Linked DNA regions of Drosophila melanogaster. The gene in region 1 interacts genetically with each later gene. Each region holds a gene or a part of one and is shown in the gene's direction. Other genes may lie near its edges.

What was found. A genetic interaction does not mean that the proteins touch.
Region 2: of rho (region 1) and csw, changing one suppresses a phenotype caused by changing the other (phenotypic suppression), as found in Drosophila melanogaster (2 studies listed by BioGRID).

Annotation. Positions count from the first base shown.
Region 1 is NT_037436.4:1,461,276-1,470,650, forward strand, and holds rho (rhomboid), read left to right. Parts: upstream 1-2,535; 5' UTR 2,536-2,855; intron 2,856-4,190; 5' UTR 4,191-4,211; coding exon 4,212-4,547; intron 4,548-5,214; coding exon 5,215-5,632; intron 5,633-5,764; coding exon 5,765-6,078; 3' UTR 6,079-7,669; downstream 7,670-9,375.
Region 2 is NC_004354.4:2,099,553-2,106,280, forward strand, and holds the start of csw (corkscrew), read left to right. Parts: upstream 1-2,736; 5' UTR 2,737-3,594; coding exon 3,595-4,223; intron 4,224-6,728. UniProt on the Drosophila melanogaster protein: Required in all receptor tyrosine kinase signaling pathways. Functions downstream of the receptor tyrosine kinase torso, acting in concert with D-Raf via tailless.

The DNA of each region.
Region 1 (9,375 bases):
GACGTCCACAAAAGAGACCTTAATCCAATAGATAAATTTCGAGCATTCCCTGGCTTCTTGGCCAGGACTCTTTGCTCCTTTTATGCGAAGGGAGACACAACTCCCACGATTCCTTCGACTGTTGTGGACAGTCTCATTACTTACTCCATTATTATTGGCCTTCATTCTCAATCAATTTTTCAATTCCACTCCCATTGCCATTTGCAATTGGCCCGTCAAGTTTGTATTTCGCCCCTTTGGTATCTTCAACGCCCGTCACTTCTGGCATTTCCATTGTTATTTGTTTGTTTGCAAATTTGTTCAAGAAGTTGTCGTTATATTCTATTTCGCAAGCTTTTCCTCTGCTCAAAATCAAAATGATTAAAACAACAGTTTGATACGAATTTTAATTCCCCTTTTTGCTGCGGAGTCAGTTAAGTGAGTCGCTTTCAGGACTCAGGGCATCATCCAGATCGCACGATCCCATTTGCATCTGCCTTCTCAGAAGCTGCTTGAAAGACGCGCCCCTGTCGGATGATTAGTGCTAAGATCCTTGGGCAGGATGGAAAAATGGGAAAACATGCGGTGGGAAAAACACACATCGCGAAACATTTGGCGCAACTTGCGGAAGACAAGTGCGGCTGCAACAAAAAGTCGCGAAACGAAACTCTGGGAAGCGGAAAAAGGACACCTTGCTGTGCGGCGGGAAGCGCAAGTGGCGGGCGGAATTTCCTGATTCGCGATGCCATGAGGCACTCGCATATGTTGAGCACATGTTTTGGGGGAAATTCCCGGGCGACGGGCCAGGAATCAACGTCCTGTCCTGCGTGGGAAAAGCCCACGTCCTACCCACGCCCACTCGGTTACCTGAATTCGAGCTCGAGTGTTTTGGGTGGCTGAGATTGCTTTGGTACGGTGGCTGACCTTGCCAGTGCCAGTGGGTCCATGTCCGTGGAGTGCTGGCAATGCGTGTCTGGCACAATGAAAACGCAGCAATGGAGGATGGAGGAACTCGACCTGAGGGAACGTGGGAAAAAAGGATTTACGATGAAGATGAGCTGAGAAACTCCGAGCTGATGACGTGCCTGGTCATGGGCATGTAGTGCAGCAACTGTGTTTTCGTATCTGCTTACCTGTTGCACGCACATGTTAAAAAGTCATCATAAATCTCAGTGGACGAGGACGAGGACTCTGAATCTGTTTCGCCTCTCTTTTGCGCCCAGTGAAAATATTTTCACTTTTCATGCGGGAGTTTTCATGCCGCCGATGAGGATGACTGGCCAGGATGGGTATATCTATCTATTAGATCTGTGTAAATTCCCAGCTTATCATGCAAAACACGTAACCACGTCGTCTCGATCCTTTCGGCCAGGAAGCCGAAAGCTACTCCTTTTGTGCAACATGCCGTGGTGACCTTTCCCGCGAACTCGTGACTGCAACGGCTCAGGCTGCCTAATAATTTGTATAAATATTTATTTTTGCTACCGATTTCTATCTGCTCGCTCAACGCCTCCGAGGGAGCTCTCGCTGGAAAAGGTGTGAAATTCGAAACCCCTGACAATGATGATCTTCTACGGGGAATCGGGGAATCAAGGGGAATCAGGACGGGGCTCGGTTTCGAATTCGATTCCATGACATGTTCTGCATTGCTGAGCCGATATACTTTATTTGCATTTTTGGCCACTTGCAGTGGCACGTTCCCTTAAAAACAACAGAATTATAGAAGCAATGTTTTAGCTATTGAACGGTTACGTATCAATAGAGGAATTTTAAAACTATTTCTAAGCAAGCAAATAGTTTTGCTAGTTTTTTTAGTTTAGAAACTAATTTACATTACCATTGTGAGCAATTGTGACATTGAAGTTATTTCTGGAAACTATTCGAAAGTGCGGAGCTAAAGAAAAAGCGACTGCTACTACCGATTTCATCATCTTTAATTGTGTTAACAATTTGTTTGACTTTCTTGTCTTTGTTTAAAGGCATCGACGGGAAACTCAGCAAAACAATGGACTTGGTACCTTTACAAATACAACTAAAATGAGCTTAAACCTCTTCTAGTACGTTAATATATATTACTAGTAATAATATAAAATGAGATAAAAGTCGGTTTTGCTGAAAGGCAATTAAACGCAAAGGCCTTGCTAGAATTTCGCAACATTGCAGAGATTAGAGCTCAGATCTGCGTAGTAGGCCATGACAAAGCGCAGATCGCTGGAGATCGGCGAGAAGACAGAAGACAGAAGACGACGCATTTGTTAGTCAGTGGCATTGGCAAGAAGTGCTGGCCCGTCTGGATGAGTCATTCACCGTTATGTGGCAAGGCGGCAGATGGGGGAAACCAGTGAATAACCAGCGACGAAAAACCTTCGAACCGCTCGCCTCGAGCTGCAGCAGTCGAGTGACTGCAGTGCGCACACCCCACCCACCCACACAAGACAAGATCCGGATGTGCCATGCAACACTTATACGGCCGAACCAAAACACAACATGTTCGAAGTGGCTCTCTTATACTGCACCGCACAGCGAGCACTTATAAAGGCCGGCTGCCTTGCCTTTCGAAAGTCAGTTGCGTGCGAGCCGCGAGCGCGAGATCATCAAACTGAGAAAGTCGGACTGCGACTCGAAACTGAAATTGAAACTGAAAGAAAGAAATATTCAAATTGTCGTGTGTGTGGGTGCAAGCAGAGAATATATATCTCAAGAATATCTGAATACAAGCTCCTGGATTTACGAGCAGCAAAACTAAGTTACCAATGTGCGAGCCGAAAAAAGCGAGTGAAAAACGTGCGAATATGCCAGCTAACTAAAGACATTTGGATTACAAGAAACCCACGCATTTTGGATTATAAACATTGCGACAGGCAGAAAAACCTAAGGTAAGCCCCCGACCCTAATGAGAAAATGCGCGAGAGCTAAAAGATACAAGATACAAAATATGAGTTGCGAGATACAAGCTACAAGCCACAAGGGATATGCAAGAAATGTGCAAATTGCAATAGAAATTGTCACAGCGGCAAAACAAAAGCATTTCAACTTAGAGGCGTAATGAGTTTGTTCAACCTGTGTGCCCGCTCGCTCTATCTCTCTCGCTCGCACCCTTTGCCCGTTTTTTTTTTTAGGGGTGCGAGTGCAGCAGAAAGCATAAAAAATGCAAATTACACCGCGGGCCATGTGAAACTATGTTTCTGACCAAACAGACAAAAAAAAAAAATGAGAAGAAAGAAATGATGAAAAGAAGGCCGAATGAATTAATTCATTATGTCTTAAAGCCCGCTTTCGACATCTCTTCTTCATGCTCGCATGGACATTCGGTGCAGTCTGCAATTAAAGTTAATAAATAAATTAATTAATAAGCGGCCGACTGCGATTTCGTGCCTTATTGAAATTGCTAGGCAACCGAAATGAAGAACATGAAAAGAGCGCCAGCCAAGGCACGGCACCCACTCACTTTTTCGAGCAGTGTAGGTAGCAGACACAAAAGCAACAACGGTGCGTGTGTGCAATGCGACTTGAGGCGAAAGAGAGAGAGGGGGCATATGCGAACACAATGAGTGTGAGTGGGAGAAACGCGTTTTTTTAAGTTTATTTTTTTTTTTTTTGTTGAGCAAGGCAATGAATTTGTTATTTTTTTTCCTTGTTGCGACGAACAGTTGTTTGGGGAATTTAAGAAGATTTGTGCTGTGACTGTAATTGAATCGAATGCGATTAACATAATTTGTGAGGAAATGTCTCTGGGCAATGAATTACAATAATGCCTGGCCATTAGCTGATTAGTTGGCCATTAGCGAAGATGATTTCAGGGCTGAAAGTGCAGTTTATGTAACGGCGTAGATGCTACACAAGCTACATCTTCAATTTTGTCCAGCTAATTTCGGGCCACAAAAGCAAACTTGGCCCATCAAATTTTATGGTTAGCTCACACAAGCTGACCCAGTTTTCCCTTCGGGGAAAAGCAGCCAGGAAGTTGCAGGCATCGGAATCCGTGTCCCAGGCCATAAACAAAATTCTTACCCACAAAGAAGCAGGCTTTTCCTTCGCTTTTCTTTTATTTCTGCTGCATTTCCCCACACACTCTGGTTTTTCTGAAGTGTTGTAATTGCTCTTGTTTTGTGCTGCGTTTTATGAATAACTTATGCACTTAATTGATTTTTGTTTATTGTTCGGTTCAAGTTAATTAATTACACACTTTATGCGCTCCTCTCTTTCTCCAGAATTTCTTCAACGGCGCCAGCATGGAGAACTTAACGCAGAATGTAAACGAAACCAAGGTGGATTTGGGCCAGGAGAAGGAGAAGGAGGCGTCGCAGGAGGAGGAGCATGCCACCGCCGCCAAGGAGACCATCATTGACATTCCCGCCGCGTGCTCCAGTTCCTCCAACTCCTCGTCGTACGACACCGATTGCAGCACGGCGAGCAGCACCTGCTGCACCCGCCAAGGCGAGCACATCTACATGCAACGCGAGGCCATCCCGGCCACGCCACTTCCGGAGTCGGAGGATATCGGCCTGCTGAAGTACGTCCACCGCCAGCACTGGCCCTGGTTCATCCTAGTGATCTCCATCATTGAGGTAAGCACACACACAGCGAACTCAGTAACTCAACCCATTAAATCAAAGAAGCCGCAAACTTTCATCCCAAGAGCGATAAAAATGATATAGGGGGCGGAAAGCGGCGACGAAGGGCGGAAGTTTTCCGAGAGTTTTCCTCGCTTTTCGTGTTTCGTTTTCTGCGTCTGACTCGCTGGCGCCCCCGAAAATCGATTGTAAACAAGTTGAACAACAAAACAGCCGAAGGAAAAAAAGCGAACAGAAAAGTTTATGAAACCAGACCGTTCGTAGTTTTTTCTTTTTTTTATTTTTTAAGGGCAGACCAAAAATTGTCATGTGAAAAACAGTGGAAGATGAGAAGATGGAAATGATAGTTAGTTTGATAGCGAAATTGGTAACTTGGAACATTGAGTTTAAAATAAACAATACACTTTTACATGACCCCTTACATTCGTATTGGAAATAATTTGCTTCGTATAGAAACTAGCACGAATATCAAATAAACAGGGCGGCCCACGGGGCGTATGAGTTTAGTGAGTTTGAAGCCCTGCCAAGTTGGCAGGACTCGCCCCTAAGCATTCTCATAAGACTTTATTTGGAACGTGGTCGCGTGCCAGACAGCAACAACATAAATCAGAGCGAGAGCCCAGAACTAACCCCCAATTCTTTGCGTCTCTGTCCATTTTAGATTGCCATCTTCGCCTACGACCGCTACACAATGCCCGCCCAGAATTTCGGGCTACCCGTTCCGATTCCGTCGGATTCGGTGCTGGTCTATCGGCCGGACCGGCGTCTGCAGGTGTGGCGCTTCTTTAGCTACATGTTCCTGCACGCCAACTGGTTCCACCTGGGCTTCAATATCGTCATCCAGCTGTTTTTTGGCATTCCCCTGGAGGTGATGCACGGCACGGCCAGGATCGGCGTGATCTACATGGCGGGCGTTTTTGCCGGATCCCTGGGCACCAGTGTCGTCGACTCGGAGGTCTTCCTGGTGGGCGCCAGCGGTGGCGTCTATGCCCTGTTGGCCGCACATCTGGCCAACATTACACTGAACTATGCGCACATGAAGAGCGCATCCACGCAACTCGGATCCGTTGTCATCTTTGGTGAGTTTCCCCACACCTTATGACTAGAATCTATAGAACCTAATCTATCCTACCTAAACACGAATTTGTCACATCTTTTTCTTCTATGTTTAACTTAACTAACTTGAATCCCTTCTGTTCTTCCATTTGCAGTCTCCTGCGATCTGGGCTATGCTCTCTACACCCAATACTTCGATGGAAGCGCCTTCGCCAAGGGTCCCCAGGTGTCGTACATTGCCCACCTGACGGGAGCCCTGGCAGGACTAACGATCGGCTTTCTGGTGCTAAAGAACTTCGGTCACCGAGAGTACGAGCAGCTCATCTGGTGGCTAGCGTTGGGCGTCTACTGTGCCTTCACCGTCTTCGCCATCGTTTTCAACCTGATCAACACGGTGACCGCTCAGCTGATGGAGGAGCAGGGTGAGGTGATTACCCAGCATCTGTTGCACGACCTGGGAGTGTCCTAAGTTTGAGGTTCGGAGTCGTCAGCATGCTCGCAGGGATTCGGAATCTGCTTGAGCTTCAGGAGAGATCGAGAGACAGAGAGTTGGTGGAAAAGAAAAGTTCACTCAACGATTTAGTTCAAAACTAATTCGATATTCGTTTGGCTTTTGCTTTTCGTTAGCATTATCTCGTTATCGTTACCGTTTGCAGTTAAACGTTTCAGTTCCGAAACATAGTACACAAACTCAAAAAAAAAAAAAACAAATCAAGAGAAATACACTGGACAAAAAGAAAGTGCGAGGAGTGAGGAGAACATAAACCGAAGCCGAAACGTGTAAACAAATGTTGTGATAGAACCAAAGACTGAATTTATTTCGCGTGTAAAAACCAAGTAAAAATCAAGAGGAAAATCAAAGAGGAGAAACAGAACTAATCGCCTCTCGCTATGATTTAAATGATTTATCCATGTTTTCAATTAATGGTTTGTCTGTTTTCTTAAATTATGTATTTATTGGCCGCAATTACTACGAATGAATCGAATCGAAGCATCAGCAAACTGTATCAAATTGTTTATACATCCATAAGCATAATGTGCTCCGAATTGTAGGATTTAGTGTTATAATTTATATATATTTAGGTATAACTAGCCCTCCTAACAAATTGTTTCAAATTGTAAATACTATTAAGTCGCACACTAGTCAAACAACAACAACAGCAACAGCAAAAACAACAAAAAAAATATGGAAAACCACAGCAAAGAACCATTCAATTCAGATCAATTAAGCAAATCGAGTTAAATTAAATTAAATTATACTAAAGTCACTTAATGCGTTACAAAATCGAGCATCGTAATCCCCTACACACACACACACACACACACACTCGAAAGTATTACTAATTATATTTATTTATGGTAGGGCAGCGAGGGTTTATTAATTCGTCAATTGAGCGAACTATTTATTTATTTATTTATTTAATAATTTAGTGAAATTCACACAAACAAGCACGAAAAAACAACAACAACACAAGAGAGAGAAGAAACAAACCAATTCAACTGTAAAAATATCCAATTGAAAAATACACACGAAAAGCCAAAGAAAATAAAAAATCAAAACATTTCAAGAATACAACAGTAATAACAAAATACAAGCAAAAGCGTTTTCATTTCCCATTTTGTATTTTTATTTTACTTTCAGTTTTTGGCTGTCGGCTCGCTTGGTTTTAATTCCCACAATTTAAGGGCAATAAATAATCGAGCCAGCAGATTATCAAGATACTTGACATATTGACCGATACACATATATATATACATATATATATATATATATCGTACGCAAATAGAGAAATATTCAAAGTAATCGCCGAATGAAAACAGCTAATCTGGCATAAAGGCCAGCAAAGCGTAAGCCAAAATAGAATCCTTTTGGGCCACAAAACCCCAAGATAGCATACTCGATTTTCCAAAATAATGGATCCACACTCCACCCGATGAAAAAAAAAAAACAAAACAAAAAAATAAAATAAAACAAACTAGGAAACGGAAATGTTCAGCACGAGACAAGGGACAGAAGAAATGCAAATAGCAAAAAATTATAGATAAATAAATAAGGAGAGAAAAATTGAACAAAAATAAATGTCTAAATTATATATGAATTTCTCGTTTTCTTCACAAATAACTCAGGGCGAGTTGAGCTTGTGTATGTATGTATCCTCTGCTGGATGAGTTTTTTGGGGGGCAGCCCAATCAATATTTGCTCCACATAAATATGGCAATTCAAAGCGAAAGGTTGCAACTACAACTAAGACTCGAAGAAAATCCTTAATTAATACCCACTCCGCAGAAGACTTGTGTCAACGAATTTTCCCACTCGAATGTTGCCACTGCCACCAATCGATAGTTGCCCCAATATGAAATATGAAGGCGCAGCATACGCATTTTGTAATAATTCATATTGTCTGTGATTCCACATCTCATGCGAGTATTATATTCAATCCAACTGGATTAGCAGGACTAAGTCCATGAATTTCCAAATCGGCATTCAACTCGAAGGACTTGAAGCGAACCAAAAACATTTGCCAGCTGTTTGCGTTTAGTCGACTAATGCATACCTATTAGCAATAAGCACTTAATAGAAAACTAAAGCAGAAACATGCTGATCGAGTACAACTAATCGAAATTGTTGAGGATATTCTCAATTAGTCCTGTACTTCCCACCTAATTTAAGAAATACAAACCTACTCTTTTACTAAAAAAGTACAGGGTATAATCCCCCAATATTTCACTTATTAATGATGCATAATCAAGGAAGCGTTGGCAAATCAAAGATGCTTGATTACATCGGAAAATGAATAAAACACTTGGATGAAACAGTAAAATGTACGTAAGTAATACAATTCACATAGACTAAGAACATCTTTTTTGTGTTCCGCTAACTGCAATTAGTAATTGTGCATAATCAGAGCTGAATGATTGCACCTGTCAATTAATTTCCGCTTAAATTATACAATTACGGGCGATGGGCGATACAAGAGATACAGCAACACAATAAAGCAGATGTGCCTCCAAAATGGGGCACAAGCTTAGTGCCTTCGGATTTTGGGGGACGAAGTAGACACTCACCGCCACTTGCAACTCCCAAATCCCAACGCCCGTGCAAGAAGACAGACAAGCCAACCTCATCCAATCCAATCCATTCCAATCCAATCCAATCCAATCCCATCCGAAACGCACCCGGAGAGTCTAGGCAGTTTGAGGAGCAAGATTTATGGTAGACAGGAGCTGCCGCCTCGTGGACATCAAATTGAAATTCAGGCACAATGTCAACAGCAATCGAGGACGAGGTCAGACAGGCTCAGACGACGGCGGCAACTGCGAGTGCGAGTGCCAGTGCCAGTGCCAGTGCGAGTTGGAGTCGGAATCAAGAGCTGGCTCTGCGGAGCCGAAAAATCCACATAAATAACGCGGGCATCCAACTGACCCCCTCTCAGCCCGTTGGCATCTCGTCCAGCTCGTTTCTGCGAATGGCAGGTGCAACTCAATCAACGCTCCTCGCCTCGCCGCCCTTCGCGGTATTTTGCCACAACGTTGCATGTCATCTGTTTGGGGCTCGGTCGCTGTAGCTGTGGACAGAAGCTGCGGCTTCGACTGGGAGCCACCTGCCCAAAAGTTGACTTTGAACGTTTTTGTTTACATTTGGCGGAAAGGTGAAGTGGCGCAGCGCAAAGCTGCCACGGCAACGAATGGAATGGAGTCAGCATCAGAGCCAGAGTCACAGTCACATCCAGAATCAGAATCAGAATCCGAAACGGATCCAGAACTC
Region 2 (6,728 bases), on another chromosome or scaffold:
TTCGACGGACCGAAAATCAAAGTTGTGGGGGGCCAGGCCAACGAACCAACGAAATATTCCAACCCAATCCAAAAGGAATACTTTTACGCCGCCACTAAGCAGCCGTGAGTCCCCTGCTATTTGCGGAGCTGGAGGTTTGATTTGCTTACAAAAAAGTGTTACATGGAAGCACTCACGTAGCATTCCATCTAATAGTATGAATTACGACACTGATCGTAAATCTCGGTATATATTTTTGGCTGGTGGAGCATGGCAAAAATCGAGCAGTATCATAAATCTCGGCCGCTATGGGGAAGCCCACCTGGCTACAACTAAAACTGGGCTCGTCTCTCTAGGCTTGGAGATTGGGAAACGCAACATGTTTGTGCAGGATGCAATAATCCTATAAAACTTTTTACACATTATTTCGGTGCTTGAGTTGGTGCCACGAATCCTGCATTGTCAGCAAACAGTATGATTTCTTGTTAACAAGCTGAGTTTTAGCTAAAAAAAAAAAAAAAAAAATGCAGCCCACGCCCACCGGCGGTGAATTTATGATTTGTAAATTATTTACAAATAATATAAGTAGTTCTCCTAATTGCCTCTTCCCGTCTATTTTTGATTTACCCCTTTCTGGGTGGGGTCGCAAAGTACTCATTTTAAAATTTACCATATAACCAAGCTCACAAATGCCCGGTATAATGGCCCATAAACTATACTCTCTGGCATTTGCCGCAAAACAGTTCTGTTGGTTTTTGGCTGATTTAGTGCGAACACGTCTGTACAGTGGTCCCCGCAGCGACCCACAATCGATTTGCGATTGCCAATTGGCTATTGGCTATCGGCTATTGGCTTTTGGCGACTGAATAACCCATTTCGAGGAGCTGTCGCCGCGCATTCGGTCCGGCACGCTTCACTTACGGATTGGGCTTTGGCTTCGGCTCCGCTGGCTGCCATCCCTGGGTCCCGAGACCAAATCTCAATCTCAATCCCAATTCGGAGTGGCGAACAATCAGTGGTCGGCACATATGTAGCTGTGTGCCTAGCATACTAACCATCCCCCGCCTCCGACTGAACAATAAATTATGTTTATTTCTGGCCCACTCCCCATCGCACCTACGAATGGTTTTGGCTGTGCCCAAATGCGGTCTGGGTCTCCAGCAACGAAATCGGGATAGCCAAGGTCGCGGAGCTCAGGAATGGAGCACTGGGGATACTGGGACTGGGCTGTCGCTCTGGCAACTGGTACCGATCAAGTTTATTTCTGGGTAGGGCGGCACTCACGGCACTCACTACTTCGCCGGAACTTTTAGTAATTCCATACGTAATGTAAACACGTTGGGTAGGCTATTGGTCAATGCCACTTCTAAATTGCGTTACCCGATCATTTCTAAGAACTTAAACTTGCGAATGGCCAATGTTGGCCTCGCTCTTAATTCTGTATCGATAGCAATCAGGTAGCTCAAATCATCTCTACTCACTTTTAATGCACTTCTCGTCTTGCATTTGCCATTGCAATGACTAATATTCTTAACCGACACCTAACTGCGCCCAGAAGCCCCATGTGGTTTCCACGGATCTGGTCCACCTGGCCTGGAACATCCTGTTTGCATTGATGCATGCATGCATAGCTACATGGGGTTTCCCCGACTGGTTTGAGCTGAGCATTTTCAATTTTGATCGAACACTTCGGAGACAATTTCCATTGAGTGGATTTTGAATGTGGTTTGGGTAACAAGTTCTAGTTGGTTTCCAGCGAAAAAACAATGACGAAATGTTGGAAAAAAAAAAAATAGTTCGTCATCGTTGGGAGGCATGAATACGAGGCTGGAAGTAAAGTGTTGCTAGATCGCAGTTCGCAGGCTGTCGCACGTCGAACGATTTTGTTTTGCTGGCCAAAAAAAAAAAAAAGATATTCTGCGCACGTTCGCACCTCTGACGTCTGCGCCTGCGCTGTAAGAGAGCTTTGGCACTGCTCGCTTCTAGCTCCCACTTACCCAACTACCAACCTGCCCACCTGCCCACCAACCCACCTGCCCCCCAGCAAACCCAGTTCCTTGCCTAGATGGCCGCCACAGTAGTTGCTGTGCGGCTTCAGTTTCATTTCCGGTGGCAGGCAACGGACGGCGCTAAAAGCGCTTTTTGTATTTGCTTTCTTACAAGCCAACAACACACTCATATCACGAAATGACCATTTTCGGATTGGAATTAATCTTATGTGCCTGCTTTTCGAAATGTGTATGATTCGGATTCTGATTGCGATGAACTCCATGACTCATCCAGGAGTACAGTCATTACGAAATAAACATAGAGTGGAGCCCGCTATACATATTTATAGGTATTAGCCTGGCTCTAGCACTTAATTGAAAGTAAATGAAAAGTAAAAGTGTAATTTTTTACAATGTTGATTGCAATTCAAAGTGCTTTCGCTTTCTGAATAAACCGTAAGTGGCGTCCACAGGATGGCTACAATTAAGTGGCGCCCGCTGAGGGGCCCAAGCAGTTTGATGATACTGAAACAGGAGCCCAGGGGAAAGCTGTGCACACACCCACTGCCAATCAATTTCAAAGTTACGTCTTTCGCTCCGTTTTATTTACTGTGTTTTTTTTTGTATTTGTTTGTGACTTCTGGCTCGCTGACAGTAAATAAAGCCCATAAATAAAAACACCCACCCACGAGATCGACAGGAAGGGCTAACCAGAGCGCCGGCTGGATTTAAAAACAAAAAGCGCCGTCCGCAGCCAGTCAAGATTCAGATTCATTCATACCCCAGCGCTTAGAACACCACCAGGCCACAGCTCCCGTCCGAGAGATATAGCCACTAAGAGAGAGCGGAAGAATCGAATCGCAAAGAGAGGAGCCGCGCTGAGACAACGTCAAGAATCCGATTTCGATTCCGATTGCGATTTCGAATCCGAGGCAAAAAGCTTCAGACTCGGCAGCAGGCGCTTCATTCTCGAGTTGTGATCCAACGGGTTAGCAGCTCAGCTCGCAAGCAGTCGCCGTTCGTCGTCGAGCGGCAAGCAGTTCGTTTCATTTCTACTGGGCGCCAGTACAAGTTCCATCGAGTGTTTTTGTTATTCGAAGGCAAAGCGCGAAAATTATGCCTTCAGCCACATTTGTCCTGGAGCATTTGATGGCGGCACAATCGCGACTCGACGAGCAGGCCGCATCCCCAGCAGAGGTCAAACCCACCAGCACCATCAACAGCAGCAGCACCACCGTGGCCAAGGCCATCAATGTCAAGTCGTACGAAAAGAAGCTGTTGCTGGCTCTCAAGAAGATTGTGCAATAATAAACGAATGCGGGGTAAACAGCACTCTATTTGACAAACTGTAGACATTTCCCCTAATCGAGCTGACTAAGATCAATAAAAAGCAAACAGAGAAGCACAACAAACAGCGGCAAAAAACAAAAACCAAGAATTCTAGTTTTTGTGCTTTCAGTGTGTGTTCGTGTGTGTGGGCAAGTTGTTACATAAAACAAAAACAATAACAAAATAAAAAAAAAATAATAAAAAAACACCCCAGCCGAGACGCATTTTTCCGCAGTGGAATACTACTATCTAAGCTTCTTTTTGTTTTGGTGTGTGCGAGAAAACGAGTGTGAAGAAAATGCTGTTCAACAAATGTCTGGAAAAGTTGTCCAGCTCGCTGGGCAATGTGGTCAATCACAAGCTGCAAGAGAAACAAGTCTACAACAACAACAATATCAACAATAACAATAACAATACGCTAAACAACAACAATGCCTACAACAATCAGCGAAACTTTGAGTACGAAAGAGCCATACAGGCGCACTACGGAAGCAAGGGAAGACGCTCGGAGGAGCGCGAAAGGAGCGGCAAGTTCAAGGCCAGCAAGGGTCGGAAAGCAAAGGTCACCCCACCAACGGAGACACCCGAGGCCCAGGAGCCGGCCTGCAAGAACTGTATGACCCACGACGAGCTGGCCCAGATCATAAAGGGCGTGGCCAAGGGCGCTGACGCGCAACGTAATCGAGACAACCGACTGCAGCGCAGACGTCGTCCTCTCTCCGCCCAACCCTCCGCCGCTGCCTCCGCCTCCACATCGACGGAATCTCTGCACCGTCTTACACCCAGCCCGCAGGCTTCCTACCCGGCCACGCCCACCTCCTGGACAGCCACACCGCCCCAGTTCCCAGCCGCCTTCGGCGGCGCCAGCTGCTCCAACAGCACACTGTCCCTCTTGGCCACCATGCGCGTCCAGCTCCATGGTTACACGTAAGTTCAGGTCGCCCAAAAAAAACGACAGCAGTCCAGTCCAGAGTGTTAGAAAAAGAGCAGCGTTCTGCTAATTTGGGGCGCGTGCGAAATTAGGCACTAATTGTTATTGGAGTGCGAGTAATGAAGTTGTCAGGCTGCCAACTAAACGATACCCCGTAGCAGGTGAAATGGTATTTTGAGCTACCATCGCATCGTAGTATGTCGCCCCGCCTGTCAGTCACATGTCGCGGAGTAGCAGATGATTCGCGGGAAATCTGGAGACAATCTGCTGCCCATCAACATTAACCCTAATAAGGCAGGCAATCACAGGCAGTTGACGCCGCAACAAAGCAAAAAAAAAAAAAAATCAGCGCAGCACATACTGTCATGTGTTCAGAATTGCCACGCAAAATGAGTAAATATTTACGCAAAGCATTCGACTCGAAAACAAGCAATCGTAAATTGACGTTCTAATATGAATGAATTTCCGACTGTCAAATGCCGAAGTGAAGTGAAGGGAGTGGAATGGCAAATGGCAGGGGGCCCAGCTCAGATCGCCACTCAAATATGGTCACATATCAACATATCAACCCCCCCCACACAATTGGCCCGTTGTCAAGTTGTGTTTCGATATTGGTTCTTTCATTTAGAGCTGAAGATTGAGTTATTGGTTAGGCACTGGCTAAATTACGCACTTGTAGAACCGGGAGAGTTCGGCGAATTGCCCACTGCAGACATCGTATCTTGGCCCACTGCCAGATCGGAATTATCTCTTCACTCGCGCCCGGAATGTTTACCCATGTCCCGCTGTTGCGCTGTCCGTCGTCCACATTCCCCAAAGATTCCATCCCACTCCGTGTCTGATCTTGGTGTTTATCTGCCCGGCTGTGCCATGTGCCGTCCGATTGTTTGTGTGGGCTGGCCCCATCTTGGCGATCTCGATTCGCACAGTACACCCAGAAAACAATCGCATATGTATCTGCTGGACTATTATTATGTCCCATAAATTATCTTTGACTTTTAGTTGAGCTCGGATTGGTAGTGCAGTCGGTTTCGGTTGTTGCTTATTTATTTATTTTGATTTTTATCGCAACGGATTCATAATCGCTGAACGTGTTGATTGGCTCGTTAACTTGATCTTTGTTTTTCTAATTTATGCTCAGCTTTTATAGGTATCCTGCTTTAGGGCGATCTTTTCGTCGTTATCCTAAAACGCACATCATGCCAAATGATCTGAAGATGATGTGCCAATAGCTTTGACAGCTTAAGCTGCGTGATTTCCGGATTTCACTTGTCACACTCACTAGGTCAACAATGGGGCACCGCCGTCCTCTGCCCTCCGCCTTGTAGAACTATTAACCTTCCGATGGTTTTTCTTCTCGCCATAAGGCTGATTAACGATTTATGAAATTACATTTCCCGTAATGGATTTCGAGCGCTGCCTTCTGTTTTGCATATTTCCGTTTATTTGTCCGTTGCACAACCGTGAGCTGTGGCTACTGATCAAATAAAAGCGTTTAATTTGTGCAAATTCATAACGTCGGCCGACTACAAGATGCTCTCAGTGGAAAGGCCCAATTATGGGGGGGAGGGCTTTGTTCTGGGGTTGTAACTCCATGGAAATTTTACAATTCTATCCCAGACTCTCCCCAACTAGTACTTTTCCCCGTCCAGTTCTCCAACTTGACATATCGTTTATATGCTTATTTTAACAGTTTGAACTGTTCAAAAAATATTATGTTTTGAATAGACTGTACTACTACTTCACACACTGCTTGCGAGTGGGCGGTTAGGGTAGGGGCAAGCAGCTCATTCGATAATTCAATAAGTATCTTGCCGACTTTTGAGTTAATTAATTGAAGGCCTCGTTCCCCTGCTTCCGCGCTCCACCTCGTAACCCCAATACCAGTCGTTTCGCTGCCGCCTTTCCAGGTGCGTTGCCACACGAAAAGCAAAATAAACCTGTGACAAACGAAACGACTAAAACACTGAGGGGGGGATTTGTATATGTATTCGGATATTGTGTACGAATACGCTGCACATATTCGTGTGTGCATGTAAATCTGTTTGTTGACCTTAGCGGCGCTTTCATGAATGGCGCGCAGCTTCCTCCGTATGGTAAATACAAATACGCCACATTCGCATTCGCTGCTGTAAGTGTAACTGTAAATGATGCAAAAAGGTGCAAAATTTTCACTGACGTACTCGGGTGATGGTAATTCCATCTGCTTGTATTTTTAACCCCCAGTCTGCCCGATTTAAATCGCTGAGTGAGAGCGCAACAGAAGTAATTTGTGTTGCTTTGTATTATCGTCACAGTGCTAAATTTAAAGATAAACACCGAAATATGGGTGGAGACGGAGACACAGTTTGGCAGCACCGCAGTTCGGCAGAATGACACAAAGGATATCAGCGATATGATCGATGTGGGCTGCGATAATTGCTAAGTTCAACTCGATTGCACGGGGTCAGACGGCAGAGGGCGATGCGTCCACGAATCCGAATCATTTTAACTACGGCGAT